Stegostoma tigrinum: one gene and its partner. The protein of the gene in region 1 interacts with the protein of each later gene in a pairwise test. Links are inferred from orthologs where the notes say so. Each region holds a gene or a part of one and is shown in the gene's direction. Other genes may lie near its edges.

Region 1 (7,641 bases):
CAAGAGTGATCAATGACAACACAAAGTTTTAGATTAGTGATGGAGCAGAGTGAGGAACCGCCCAATTTGGACAAAGGCTAATGTCAATGCAATAGAAAAAGATCTAGCCTGGGTCAAGTACAACCAAGAAATCTCAGGAAATGTTAATGGGTGATCAATAAGAAGATGTTTCAGGTTCAGGCTAGGTACATTCAAACAAGTTGAAAAGGAAAGTGAATGAAAGTCAAGGTTCCTTGGATGATGAAAGAGATAGGGAAAATTATGAAAAAAATAGGTACAATGCAAATAAATTCTTCATGTAAGAACCAAGTCAAGTGCACAGTATTGAGATATGTAGCGAAGAAGAAAATATGACTGACTGGCAGAAAGTGGATTTGAAAATGGAATGGCAGCTAATGTACAAGGGAGCCCAAAATTATTCGACAGGCATGTAAGTAATAGAAGTCAGAAATGGTTTATTAGGGTTTTAAGAGTGTGATATATGCTTGGCATAACAGTGTAAAGTTAGGTACTTTGTGTTAACATATACTAAGGAAGAAGATATCGACAAAATATTTGTAGGAGAGTGACAATGGATGAATTGGAAATTAATCATATATTTTAAAAATGGCTTAAAAAGAGACAACAGTGAACAGGAGCAAGTAATTGTTTTTCGGACTGAGGATGATCAAAAAGGTGCTACTTAGGATCGGTGTTAGAATCACTGCTTTTTTGATGTGTTTCTGTATACGAACCTAGATATTGAAGTACAGAAAAAAATCAATATCAATAATAGCTGGAAACTTAGACGTATGGACAACAGTGTTGATGACACTAGTGGAATGTGACTGGTCATAGAAACTCTAGCAGAATATGAGACAAGTGGCAGATTGAATTTAATATAGAGAAATGTAAGGTGATTAAATTTGGTGGAAGAAGCAGTAAGAGGCAAAATAGAATTTATGGTACATTTTTAGAGAGTGTATGTGGACAGGGAGACCTGGGGATTCATGTATATTGACCTTTGAAAGTGGAAGTATGTATTGAGAGCACAATAGCAAAGTATATGAGATCTTGGACTTCATAAATGATGCAGAGTCTAGGCCCGAAACGCCAGTTTTTGTGCTCCTGAGATTGCTGCTTGGCCTGCTGTGTTCATCCAGCTCCACACTTTGTTATCTTGGATTCTCCAGCATTTGCAGTTCCCATTATCTCTGAACCAATGTATTTCCTCTAGTTCTAGCTACCACACTTATGCAAGGATGGAAGGTGCAGAGATTTACCAGAATGCTCTTGGGAGAAAAATATTTAGGTTACAAACTGCAAGAGAAGTCAATTTAATGTAGCCAAAGAAAAGCTGTTTGGATTAGCTGATGGTACACGCAACAGTGGGCACAGATTAAGTTTTGGACAAAAGATGCAAGGCCAGTGCATTGAACAGTAATGTCCTGGAAATTGCTATCTCTAATAGTGATGGAAGTAGAGATGATGAATGATTTGAAAGGAAATTAGATGGGCATTATAAAGAAATAATAATTGGGGCATGGGGGTCAGTGTGGAGAAATGGAGCTGATGGGATTACTTTATGGGGAGCAAGGTGTCAATGGGCCACCATGACTTTATGACACAATCACCGACTAGTAGGAGGCTGACGTGGTACTGTAAGGAAATTAACATCTGGGTATACCAGGCTGGCCTTGAAATTTACCGGCAGCACCCGATTTATGGCAAATGAATTGATGAAGTTCCCAGTAAAGATTTTTCTGTACTATATTATTTGATGGAAGCACACGAGTCTGTCCACTAAGACTTCAGCAGTTTGTTTCCCCCAAACTAGCAAATATCGTAGTGAACAAAAATAAAGTTGCTGGAGAAGTTCTGAGGAAGGATCGCTGGACCCGAAACGCTAAGTCTTTTTTTCCTTCACCGACGCTGCCAGACCTGCTGACCTTATCCAGCAACTTTGTTTTTGTTCTCGATTTACAGCATCTGCAGTTCTTTCGGTTTTTATTAAATATGGAGGTGAATCTGGTAATGTGGCGGAGGAGCCGGATTGGCAACTCCAGCTGTGCTGAAGGTAAAAACTGGGACTATCTTAGAGTTTTTACACATCACAGTCCAACTGAATCCTGCACAAACCTATGGCTAAATTGTCATTGGATCCTCTGAAAATGTTCCAAAAAAAACTTACAATGCCTTTCCTCTTGAAAACGTAAAACTTCCTGCCCCACTCCCATAACATTAGAATTAACCACAGGGAACAATCATTACTTCAACAGAATGTCTGGCTTAGTTCAACAGGAAAGTAATTAACAGTTTCAGGAATTGAGCATTGCATTCCACAGCCAGCAGCTTCAGTCAGGAGATTGCTGCTACTGCGCTCTAAGGACAATATAAACCGTACCGTCTTCTAGAAGCTTTTTCTGAAGGGTCTTGGCCTGAAACGTCAGCTTTCCTGCCCCTCTGATCCTGCTTGGCCTGCTGTGTTCATCCAGCTCTACACCGTGTTTATCTCGTCTTCTAAAAGCCGTGGGCAAGCCAACGTCTGTCATGATTAGTTGTTCTCCTACGACAGGGGAACCTCTGCACTCTCACTAAAATTATTGACTTTAGCCATGTCTTGAAATTCTCTCCGGTGATCCCCATGTCACCTTAAGAGTCTGAAATGCCATTTCTGGAAGTCCACGATGGACATAATAGACTGGCAGAATGTTGTTAAGTAAAATATTACAGTTGCAAAACATTTGAAATTCCAATTAATTGATATTTTTGAGATACACGGCGACATGCTTATAACTTTAGGGAATTGTAATTCACCTGTAGATAGGTGCCCCTTCGAAGTGTAGGGAAATGCTAATGGCTTAAAGTTACCAATGTATAATTATTGCCGACATTGATACTCATGTGCTGATATTTAAAACAGCTTTAAACAAAAACAAAAAACTTGGATCTAAGTAAGCGATTAGAATTTCATTCCAGGTTTGCAGAATGTCATGATGGGCGATACAAGTAACTCCCTTAGTTGGGAGAGCGGATTTAGTTTAACAGAATACCAATTCCATCAAAAACGATTTTGTAATTATCAATAAGATTTTCAGACTACATTTAGCAACACCATGCATACATAAACACACACTATTTGGTCGCAGTGTCGTCTGTAGTTGAAAATGTAAATAAAATGCAGGACGATTCGCTATCAAGATTTACTGCAAGGGCTCATGTTTTAAAATTGAAATACAACCTCGACTTCAGTCTCGTCCATTTCCCATATTGTTTGAAACATTGGAAGTGTATTAATTTAGTCCCCCAATTTCCAAAGCCCATGAGTGCCATCGTCTCAATGTCTTATGTTTAATTGTCTGACATGGTTCCGGCGTCAATGCATCATCCATTGTTTGCGTTTTTTGCAAAGCAACAAATCTGTTAGTATTTCCCTAACTTCTCAATTTCAGGACTTAAAATCCATATACTTTAAGTATTTTCTAATTTGCTTTCTGCCGTGTGACTTCAATAGTCTTTGCTTCAGTGTCTCGCCGCGAGATAATTTCAATATTTGTGCAGCGAAACATGTAAAGTGCTGCAATTGTGTAATGGAATCGTTCATTTGTAGATTCAAACTTTGCATCATGGACCTATGCGACTGTATTTCCGGAAATCTGAGTGGTGTGGCAATGTTCTCCTTAACTGAACATTTTTTTCGCTACAAATATACACATTGGTTTTATTTTCTCAATTTGAAAAAGTCGATAACGTGAAATAATAATTACATTCCTCAGTAAAGCAAACATAAACAGAATAGTACCACGTTGCGAAGAATTAGTCTAAATTTGAGAGAACAACAGGTGCCCTGATACTTCCACGACAGAAACATTCGCTATTCACCTCGTCTAGGATCATTCCTTTGTCACATGGTCGTTAACCCTGCGTTTTCATTCATCATCAGCCATATGGGTGTGTGGGGTGAAGTGTGTGGTTTGTGGCTGGAGGAAGGGGGTTTGTTATCGTCTGCATGCAATCATACAGGCTGCTGTTCGCTTGCTGCCGATTTGGGAAAACTCTTTTTTAAATCTCTACCATAATGCATTGCACTATGTCTCCCACAAATCGTCAAATGAAATTGGATTTCTCATCTAACATTGTTTTGCATTTATTTGTTTATGTCACGGCCTTCGATAACAACTGCCACATGCTTCCCATAATAACTGATTTCGAAATCCAGTATATGCTGTCGTGCCCGCTTCGAGGCATCGCCGCCTTTCTGATTTTTCCCCCAATGTAATCCTCACACAATCCTACACGCACTTCATTGCAATTGAAACGCTGACGTATTGATCTTCCCACCCTGCTATTTCCTTCGTGTCTCCGCCCGCCCCTCCTTTCACCGCTGTTTAAAACATAACGCCCTGCTTAAAAAGTCATAATTTGCTAACTGCCGGGAATCTCACAGCTCTGCATGTGTTCTTATAAATTTTTTCTGTCGTAAACAAAGTGTAACGAAAGTGCCTGTGAATAAAGAGGCGTCAGCAGACCTGTAGTGTAGGTGTCTCTCCAAGGTGCACCTTACTATCGATTTGACGAGCTGGGACGCCCTCTGCTGTTGGGTCTTGGTTCCTACCGTGCTCGAAAACAATGGTCACAAAGCAATCGCGAACAAACCCACAATGTCTGGCGTTTAATTTTTTAATGACACCTAAATTGGGCATGAACATGGGGGGAGGGGAAGAAAGGAAATTTTATTCTTAAATCTGTTGGATTATGTGTGAAATAGAGTGGATGTACGTTGACAGAGCTTCCTTCTGTCGTGAACAGAAGAAAAGCTGCACAGATTCCTTAAGAAGTTAAGATTGCCACAACCAGCAGAGAACCGGTTCATAGTTTCAAAGCTGTGCTGCACAGTCCCCAGTCACTTAGGTTCCTTTCGTGTCAGAAATTCTAGACTCTGCGGTTAAAATGTAAACCTATTGTTATAGACTCCAACCTTGCTGAGATGCACCTGCTCTCCGTGATCAGGATTCAGAAGCAAGGACTCAAACCCTGAAGGCATCAAGAAGTACCTTCTGAAAAAGTCACGTCACTCCAGAGGAACGGTAGCGGGCGGTAGATTTCTATAGACAAAGCAACCTGCTCAATCTTGTCATGACACATTTTGGAGTAGAGGAGATGATGTGTGAGTCATTCGCGCGTCGTGTCAGATAAACGGACGATTCACACTTTTAAAACAGCAAATCAAACGTACTTCTGAAAAAAAAGGTCATGCTGAACGGAATTTTTGTACTCTATTTATATTCAGACGTCGTTTCCCTTGGAGTATTAAAAGCGCCCTTCAGGCTGACTAAAACTTGCATGTAAGGATCTAATTTAGTTGTCGGGAGTCAGATGGTCGAACCTGCTACCTGGGCGTCTTCACAAGGCGGTAAGGTCCTCGTCATCGTTCACCTGTAACATGCCATTTCATTAGAGACTACCTTTTCCTGTACCGGTCATTTTGATCAAGTCCACTGCCAACTTTCCCGTGCCCCTGTGTATTTATGGAATTGTGGTTGGGAGTTTAAAATCCCAGCGGGTAAGTGAAACCGGTCTTAGAAAACATGGAAACGTCCGATAGCGTTGGGTTTGAACGTGAAGCACATTGTGTCCCGATGCCATCGAGTGGTCCAAACGTTGTCAGGGCGAATTACATGTTGAGTAATCGTGCTATGGAAACTCGCTCGTACTGTGGATTTTGCTCTATTTCTGGATGGGTAGTTACAATTTAATGATGTGTAATTGTGGTGTAATCAAGGGGGATTTGTGCTTTGCGTCATGTCGGTTCGTTTCATGTTATGATTTCCAACCGAAAGGCTCTCACTGACCATTGCATTGTCTATTTTATAGTTTGGTTAAATCGTTTCGGACAGTGTTAGGATCACATTGAATGTAACAATGCTGCCTGGTCCTGTTCGGTACAGTTGGTTAATTCATCAATATTTTGCATAAATAAATGTAAACTGACAATGACCATAACTCCATTGTTGACTGACAATTGTTGTAACCTATGTGGGGAGATGGCACTGTCCTACTGGACCGCGTACCGTTCAAATGCATATTGTAGGTTGCCTAGCGGTGAAGCAAAGGCAATAGAAATTATTTCAGTCGATGCAGTTCGCGAGATCTTTGCCGGCGTTACAACTGGTAAACAGCTCGCAAAGATTGTTTGATATCTTTCCACCTTTACTGATTTCTGTGCTGCTTTGCGATTACGCGCGACATACCGGTGCCAGCGCAATCCACAGCTCTTCCCAACGTCCATCAGAGCACTTCAGCGCCCTGAATGCTAATAAAGTGAAATGTTTGAAAGCGCACGACCGTGCTCGAAGCCCATCGTCCTCACACACGCACGCACACAGACACAAGCGGGCTTAAAGCCAAACTAACAAGGCTGTCCTGTTATTATTTTTCTTACAGAAAGCAGTGTCTTTACGTTGAGAAGAAAGGATTCGAAAGGAGGCGTCAGCCCCAGCTAAGCAAAGAGCTCGCGTCTGTCAGAACCGATGGCATCTTCTGCTCCTTCATCTTCCGGAGCGAGTCAAGACTCCAATTCAACAAATTTACGGCCGGCGGATAGAAGCACAAGTAAGCGATTGCTGCTTCATTTTTAGACAACGCAAGAAGATGACTAAAGCAGCTAATGGTTATTCTGTAGGCAGAAAGTACTCCCAGAAAATTCATAAATGAATAAAACTGCACGTTGACTACTGCTAAAGCGCCTTTTAACATCACCTGTACTGTTACCTGGTTAAAACGTTTCACAATGGGGTCCTTAGCGTTCCAGGCTTATTAAAGTGCTGATAGTTTATTCAATTGTATTTTTTTCTCTTTGTTTACAACAGCTGGAAGCTGCGATTCTTTTTCACACCCGTGGAAATGAGCCTACAGCTGTATGTAAAATAAGTCTTTTAAGCAATAATTTCAACGCGGTTTAGCAATTTATGAAAATACACTTCGCTCATTATCGCAACAGACCCTTTTAGCGCAGAGTCTGAGTGCAAATGTAATTATAGGAGAAAGAGAAAGCGCCTGATGCAGCTAATTGTAGCTCTTATGAACTCGCTAATAGCTGCGACGGCACAGAGCGAACGAAAGCGAGCTATTGAACTGGCAGGGATGAGAATGGCGCTGATGGATCTAATCAGCTTCCCACACTGCCTCAACAATTTTGACATCAGGTACAAAAAAATAGTCGAAGACATAATCGACACTGACAAAGAAAAACTTACCAGAAATAAAGACGGGCATTCCGATCATTACACGTGTAATGTCTCTGCCCTCAAGGCTTTCAGACGCTCCCAGGCGCATTAATTCTTTCCATCTGCCAAGGCGGACAGGCTAACCTAGAATGCGTTTGTATTTCTGACAATCCATTTCAAACTTTAGAATCGTGAGATTCATATTGCCACACTTTGATTATTTCAATGTCTTCATGTTTTCTTATACATACACATATATGTTGATGTGTGTATATCACGTCTTATATATAACAATATACACGCATTGAAACAATGTAGTCGTGAAGTTCACACGTTCGTGTTTGTCCTTGGGAAAGCGATTGTGTAGGAAAAATTCCGGCACACAATTTATGATTTAGCCCAATTTAATTCTACTTGGCAAAACCAGGTTTTTAAA
Region 2 (7,461 bases), on another chromosome or scaffold:
AATAACATGTTTATTAATACGTTTAATATTACGACGATAATATTGTAATTTCGGGAGAAAAAAATTGATCTTATTCTTTAGTCGCTGATTGATTTATGTATCACTTTCAAAATGATTCTTCACGCAAAAACAGTGAGTTTTCGTTAGAGTCAGTAATTAATTTTTGGAGCGAGGTTGGTATGGTGTAAGTGGAGGGAGAGGTGTTTTTATTTCTCTTTCTGGTTGCCTATAAAACATGTGCTCCAGGTGAGGCTCGAACTCACAACCTCGGCATGGCTCACTCTGTACTGTCATATAAGTACCGCGCGCTAACCGATTGCGCCACTGGAGCTCTGACATCAACGTCCGAGAAATGTCCCATCTACCCTCGGCCCGGGGGGAGAGGGGAAGGGTGGAGACAGTTCGCTTTTCGTTCCGTTTCCTTTCCCAATCATTCCCCCCACCAACAGTCACGAGCGGCTTTCACGAGCCGCTGCTGAGCGGCGGTTATCTGCCCAGCTGCAGGCCAGGCTTCACCGTACCGCGTTCGGCCTGTAGTGGGGAGAGTCAGTCTCTCTCGTCTCCCAGGCTTCAGGCCTCTGCGAATGCAGAAGGTGGACAGACGGAGAGGAAAAATAACAAACGTTAATACCGTAACAGCGAATTTGTGGTGCTGATTCTGGAAATGTAAAATGTACCGGATTCTCAGTTGACTTTCATTTCCGGCCGCACCCCGAAAAATAAAAGGAAAAGGGGTCGGAGCGGGAAGCCGTAACTCTCGCCCCATTACAAGAGGGTGCGACACACGGTAGTCTGTAATCGAGAGAAGTGAGCACACGGGGACAGTGTGAGGAAAATAGAGTTTGCATCGGGCAAATGGAGGAGATTGCAGTGTTTCCAATAGGGGTGAGGGAGGGGGTTGCAGCGTTTCCAGTGCGGGGGGGGAGGGGGAATGAGGAGGGGGCTGCAGCGTTTCCAGTGGGGGGAAGAGGAGGCTGCAATGTCTACTATCGGGGGGGGGGGGGGGGGGAGAAGTGGCTGCAATGTGTCCAGTGAGAGGGAGGAGCGCTACACAATGCCTACAAAGTGAGCGAGCAGCTGGTAACAGTGTCAAAATTGGGGAGAAGCAGTGTGCATTGTTGAAAATGTAGGTATGAGGGTTCAGCAGTTCAGAGGAGTGGTCTGGAATGTCTACATTGGAGGGGAGAATGTGCCTGCAATGAGTGGGGGGGGGGGCTGGGTTGTCTACAATGTGGGTGAGGGCGGTCTGGCTTGTCGACAATGGATGCAGTAAGGTGGTCTACAACATCTACAAGTGGGGAGAAGGGCTCCACAATGAGGAAGGGTGTTACAGTGACAGGGGAGGGGATTGCTGTGACGACGACGGGGGGGGGGGGGGGGGGCAGCAATGCATACAATGGAGAAGGGGAGTAAGAGGGTTGCAATGTCTATAATGTGGAGGCTACTTCACTCTCTCCTCCTGTTTCGTGTCTGAGTTTTTGGCTATGAGATGATACATGACATATAATACTGCCAAGAGATAATGGGAACTGCCAATGCTGGAGAATCCGAGATAACAAAGTGTGGAGCTGGATGAACACAGCAGGCCAAGCAACATCTTAGGAGCACAAAAGCTGACGGTTTGGCCCTTGACCTAGGCCCGAAATGTCAGCTTTTGTGTTTCTAAGATGCTGCTTGGCCTGCTGTGTTCATCCAGCTCCACACTTTGTTATCTCTGTAATACTGCCAAGCCTGTTGACAGTAGGATGTGGCATTCCAAGAGAAACCAAAGAAGGTTTGTTTTGTGTAACAGATTTATAACATCAAAAGTAGGCCATTCAACCCATTTGATTGTAATAGAGCCATTCAATCTCATCCAATCCCAAGTTTTGGTCTGTAACCCTGTGGTATATGAATTGTAGATGTGGTGAGGGTTTTTGCCTCTTGTGAACCTTTTAAGCAGAGTTCTAAATCTGTATCACCCACCGGTGAAAGATAAATGCTTTTCAATACAGGAGGCCATTTCCAGAGTGCATTGTGTAAGCCAATTCACACCTTAACAGTCTAACTAACATTGAGAGAGAAGTTCTGTCCATTAAGATAAAAGGACTTTACTTGGAAGAAGCTAACCAATGTGTTTCAGTTTTCTAAGGTGTGAGTTCAGTAAACCTCCATGTGTACTCTTAAGTCTTCCCTGAGGTCTCACAAAGGGCTAACATGTAACTCAGATGCAATTTGTAATACAGCTATTCAGGTTATCAAGACTGAGTCTCTCTTGTGTCCAAAAACTTTGTGGGCATTCTTCTCCTTTGATATCAGCAATTTAGACTAATATCATTTAGAAGGATTGGTGCAGTGAATCTAACTACAACATATCAGCTGATACTGGTGGAAATTAGCACAACATACTATGGCAGCAACACGTGGGCACCATTCTCATATATAAAATGCTAACAATGGCGGTCTTCTGAAGAAACTTTCAGCCCTACGAAAGCCACTGACATCCAAGGACGAAAAAGAACAAAATCATTCCAGTAAGAAAATCAAATGAAATAAGAAAAATTTGGCAACTTAAAAGTACGCAGAGCCGGTAAGCTTCTGTGAAGGCAGCAAACTGATAATTTAAAAAGGCTGCTGAAGCATTAACAGTACTAAGCCTGTGCGTAGAAGTTGGAAACTTCATAATGGTGGAAAATACTGAAAAAAACTAAAGACCACAAAAGTCTCATCACAGCTAAAAATCATAAAGCTGAATATTTAGTGCAATTGATAGCTAACACCTGAAGTTACTTCCTTTGATGAAAGGTGAAAGTTCTCAAATTAACAAAATATCTAGCCTGAGAAGCTAAAAGACTCAAGTTGCTATATTTAGGAATTAAGCATCATTATAATCACTTAAATGTGTTGGCAACACAGCAGAAAAAACACTCTTTAAACTTAAAGTAATTGTGAAGGGATTTACTTAAGAAAACTGGGCATAAACATTCAACGATTTATGTTCACTGTTGGTATCTTCTCATACTATTTCTTTGCTTCGCATATTTTCTTTTTGATTTCCGTCTGAAATTCCTATATCATGTCTGATTATCAATTGTATTGTCTACTTGACATCTGTCATAGACACATATCTACTACATCTCTTACCTTCTACTTCTGTGACACAGAGAGAATTACATTCATATACCATACCTTTCCCCCATCATAGGAATAAACCTAAACTCTCTCTTCTCATCTCTTACACATCTTGTCTTTTTAGAACGATGTCATTCGTGTAATGTTACTTGTTGATGTAGTTTCTCCCAAAGTAAATCCCTTCACAATTACCACATTAAGTTTTATTTGCTAGCGTCTGTCCATTTCATCAGTCTACGTTCTCCTGAACTTCGTTATTATCCTGATGACTATTTACTAATGTTGCTATGTTTTGTATCAAATCACAAAGTTTGAAATTGTTCTCCTGATACCCAAATCTAGATAATTTTACCAAACAAGAAAGCAATTACTAAACCCCAGAACATCCACAAATACTTGCCTCTAATATTAAAATAAATCCATTCACTATTAATCTCTAATGGCTATACCTTGGCTAATTACATACCATCCCTTTATTGTCATTTACTTTTTTTGATTAAGTCTGTTATGTAGAACTTGTATCAAATGTGTTTTGTTGTATGTCCAGATACACACAACTACTGCATTACCTTCATTAACCTTCTCCACTGTTTCATCAAATAATTCAGTCTGGTTTGTCAGGCACTACTTCAGTAAATCTCTGCTGGATGTCATTTTTAATTTGGATCTGGCCAATGTTGTCAAGGAGACTTTCCAACCATTGATATCTGGTCTGTAGTTGTATGCATACATTTCGGAACAGGACTGTAAAATTTATCACTGTCCAGTCCTCTCGCTGACATCACACACGGAACCATAGAGAACTGAAAGATTGTGGTCAGAACATCTGTTGTCTCACGGCTGAGAGTATCCTTTCTGGTCTGAGAGACTTGTTCATTTTGAGTGATGGCAACTTTTTTTAAAAAAAAACTGATAGTAGGAACTGTCGATGCTGAAGTCAGAGGTAACACAGTATGGAGCTGGAGGAGCACAGCAGGCCAGGCAGCATCAGAGTAGGAGAACGTTGACGTTTGGGGTCGGTACCCTTCTTCAGAAGGGTCTCTGTTTTTCTTTAATGCTTCTCATTTCCATCTTTACCCTCATCTTTCTGTACCCGATTTCCTCGAGGCAGAATTCACAGGGCCCCAGGCCACGTTTGAAGAAATACATGGTTTTTCTCAGGTTTGTAAGGACAATGCATACTTAGGACTTGCGATAATCATGTGACCCGTGTGCTGTAGCTTTCTATAAAATACGTAGCCCTTAACTATTCCACATGCAGCAGCGTACTCCTAATTGTGGGACTATTTGGTAAGGTGGCGACTGCTGGAAGTTTATGTCTCGAACACGGGCACCTTGTTGAAATTTATTCCAGGTTCTTCTAAAAGGCCAGCCTTCTCCCCAGCTTATAAATTTCCAATCAAAAGCGTTTACCAGGGCCCACCCCTCGTCGTGGTCAATAAAGCGAGTCTGAAATCACTTGCCCCTGCTTCTGTGTGAATTTCAAAGATCACCACCAGGACTTGCTGCGCCAAAGGTATGTAATAATATCTCACAACAGGCTGCTTAGGAAAATAGGCAGGGAGTTATTACGATGCATTGGGTAAGATGATATCAAGACTTGCATGTTATTTAATATTTCTCAGGTGCTAACATCACTAAACTCACGATATCCAAACGATGGGGCTGTTTTACAACGTTAACAAATGGATCGAAGAAAACAAGAAGTATTTCAACCCCCCGGTCTGCAATAAGCTCATGTAAGTCACTTTCCCGGGCGTGCCTTTCCTGAAGGGGCACGATGTGGAGGTGCCGGCCTTGGCCTGGGATGGACAAGGTCAGAAATCACACGACACCAGGTTATAGCCCAACACAAAGTTTTCATTAATGGAGAATCTTTGATCTTTTATTCGTAAATTCTGTCTCTGATACTGCCTGTCTCACCTGAAGAAGGACTGAGGCTCCGAAAGCTTGTGTTCCCAAATAAACCTGTTGGGTTTTAACCTGCTGTCGTGTGACTTCTGACCTTTTCCAGGATGGGGAAAGCAGTGAGTGAGTGGAAGTTGAATATTTGAAGCAAGTGCCCAGTGCGATCCTATTTTGCCTGCCGCCGGTCCCACTTGACCGCTCCTTTGCATTTAGCAGGGATTCTCCAATAATCGTTAGCAGTTTTCGGCCCCTTTGAAAGACAGGCCTTGACATTAAACCTTCGATGTTGGTTTATAAAAGACGCTAGGCGTGTAGTTATGGAATGATTTTGACAGTAAAGACTGGAAAAAGCTTGGATTTCCTCTAAGTCTTAGTTTTGCTACCGTTTTTCAGGCACGCATTGGTTACAAAAGCATTTGCCCTCATAATATTCCTTAATTCTGAACTCAGTTCGTAACTCGGTACCTACAGCCTGAATATTTAAGTCTTATCATAGAGCGTGAAGAATGTCACAGAAAATTGTAACACACTAAATAATGGGATGTTGCAAACTGTGCCACATTCAATATCACTGGGAAGCCTCTTCTAGGGATGCCTAACCTGAAGAAGTTACCCTCCTCCCTCCGGAAAAACCTGAGGGGAGCTCTCTTCCACTGCAGCTCTCTTGTAATCTCTTCGGCCTTGAAACTGCTCGACCACGTCCTGAAGCAAACCAGGTACTACAGCCACACCACCTTTTAGTACCTGCCTATGGAACCGATCATCCCCAATTTACTGACCTATCCTCTCCCCACCTACACTCACCTTTACTGGCTCCATCCCCGCCTCTTTAACTTGTCTGTCTCCTCTCCACCTATCTTCTCCTCTATCTTCGATCCACCTCCCCCTCTTTCCCTATTTATTTCAAAACCCCCTTCCCCCTCTTCCATTTCTGATGAAGGGTCTCGGCCTGAAAAATCAGCTTTTGTGCTCCTCTGATGCTGCTTGGCCTGCTGTGTTCATCCAGCTCTACACCTTGTTATCTCTTTGCTCAGTGACAGCATGTTCACTGCTGAGTTAGCAACATATCAATTCCAATCCTGCTGCTCCCTCTAAAGAATATAGTGTGGCACTTAAGTGAAGCACAGGTGTACTTGTAAGAGTGCTGCATCCTTAGTGAAGGTAGTTTTTGGATAAGACATTAAGTTAAAGCCCATTTGTCTTTGCAGGCAGAATAACAGAATCTTAGCACAATTTAAAGAAGGCAAGGGCAGTTATCTTTGCAATTCTTGAGGGCTACTATGCTTCCCCTTGGCGTAATACTAACTACACATTAAGTTTGGAACATCTGAGATTGTGAAGGATGAGTTATTTTCTTTAATTAGAAATTAACAAGTTATTTTGATATCATCCATCTAAGTTGCATTTCACAAGAATTGGGAGGAACATTGAAGTAGTGAAGATGAAAAGTAAACTTTTATCTAGTAAAATACAGGTGCAAGCTCCTTTACCAAGTAGATAGATTCAGAAACAACTGGGTCAAATGATCATTGAAGATTACTTGAAAGAGCTGATACAATGACGGAAAGGATACATTGTCATAACATTATTTATTAGTGCATTAAATTGATCATGTAAATCAATGCTCACTAAAACAACATCATTATCGTGATGCATATTTTAACATGTTACTTCTGAATTACTTTTTCAAATCTGAATTCTTTTGGCTAATACTATTCTTATAATAATGTTTTTCAGGCACAGTGGCCAGTTAAAAGTTATGTTTGTTGGAGGACCTAATGAAAGGAAAGATTACCACATAGAAGAGGGAGAAGAGGTAAAGCATAATTATTCAGTGTTCACTGTACATACAGGAATATAAGAGATCAGAAAGTATTCAATTTCCTTCTCGTTCCACTTTATTTGAAGTGGAATTTAAGTGTGAACCTATCCCACTCCTGTATTCACCCAACACTCTCACCAGGGGTCAAAATGGCTTTTGTACTCCTGAGGGTTTTTGCGATCTTCTTGAGGGCTACATTTTGATTTTCAGAAACTTTCTGTTTATTCTCTCTAACTCTTCCTTTGGCTGATCTGTCATTTAGTGATGATATCTTCTGTATTTATGCTGCTCTGTGGGCCATTTGGACTTGCAGGGCAGAATCAGAAGCATTCAACAGGACATAGCAGCGGGAGTAGGCAATTCAGTCTCTTGAGCCTGCTCAACCATTTAATATAATTATGGTTGATCTTATCTTGGCCTTAACTCCATATTCCTGTCTGCTCCCCTTAACCCTTAGACAATTACTAACTAAAAATCTGTCTATCTGCTCCTTAAATTTATTCATGTCTCGACATCCTTTGTACTCTGAGATGGTGAATTTCCCAGATTAACACCCTTTGAGTGAAATAATTCCTCCATATCTGAGATAATGGGAACTGCAGATGCTGGAGAATCCAAGA

What was found. The genes of interacting proteins can lie anywhere in the genome.
Region 2: the proteins of glutamate decarboxylase 1 (region 1) and haao interact in a two-hybrid assay, tested with the Homo sapiens proteins (4 studies listed by BioGRID and IntAct). The two-hybrid records come from large-scale screens. The link is inferred for Stegostoma tigrinum from reciprocal best matches to the Homo sapiens genes GAD1 and HAAO.

The regions. Positions count from the first base shown.
Region 1 is NC_081360.1:51,746,129-51,753,769, forward strand, and holds the start of glutamate decarboxylase 1, read left to right. Parts: upstream 1-4,626; 5' UTR 4,627-5,392; intron 5,393-5,430; exon of another isoform or gene 5,431-5,542; intron 5,543-5,633; exon of another isoform or gene 5,634-5,720; intron 5,721-6,065; exon of another isoform or gene 6,066-6,150; intron 6,151-6,423; 5' UTR 6,424-6,509; coding exon 6,510-6,591; intron 6,592-7,641.
Region 2 is NC_081362.1:66,108,024-66,115,484, reverse strand, and holds the start of haao (3-hydroxyanthranilate 3,4-dioxygenase), read left to right. Parts: upstream 1-4,455; 5' UTR 4,456-4,627; exon of another isoform or gene 4,628-4,658; intron 4,659-4,736; 5' UTR 4,737-4,770; coding exon 4,771-4,850; intron 4,851-6,756; coding exon 6,757-6,835; intron 6,836-7,461. UniProt on the Homo sapiens protein: Catalyzes the oxidative ring opening of 3-hydroxyanthranilate to 2-amino-3-carboxymuconate semialdehyde, which spontaneously cyclizes to quinolinate.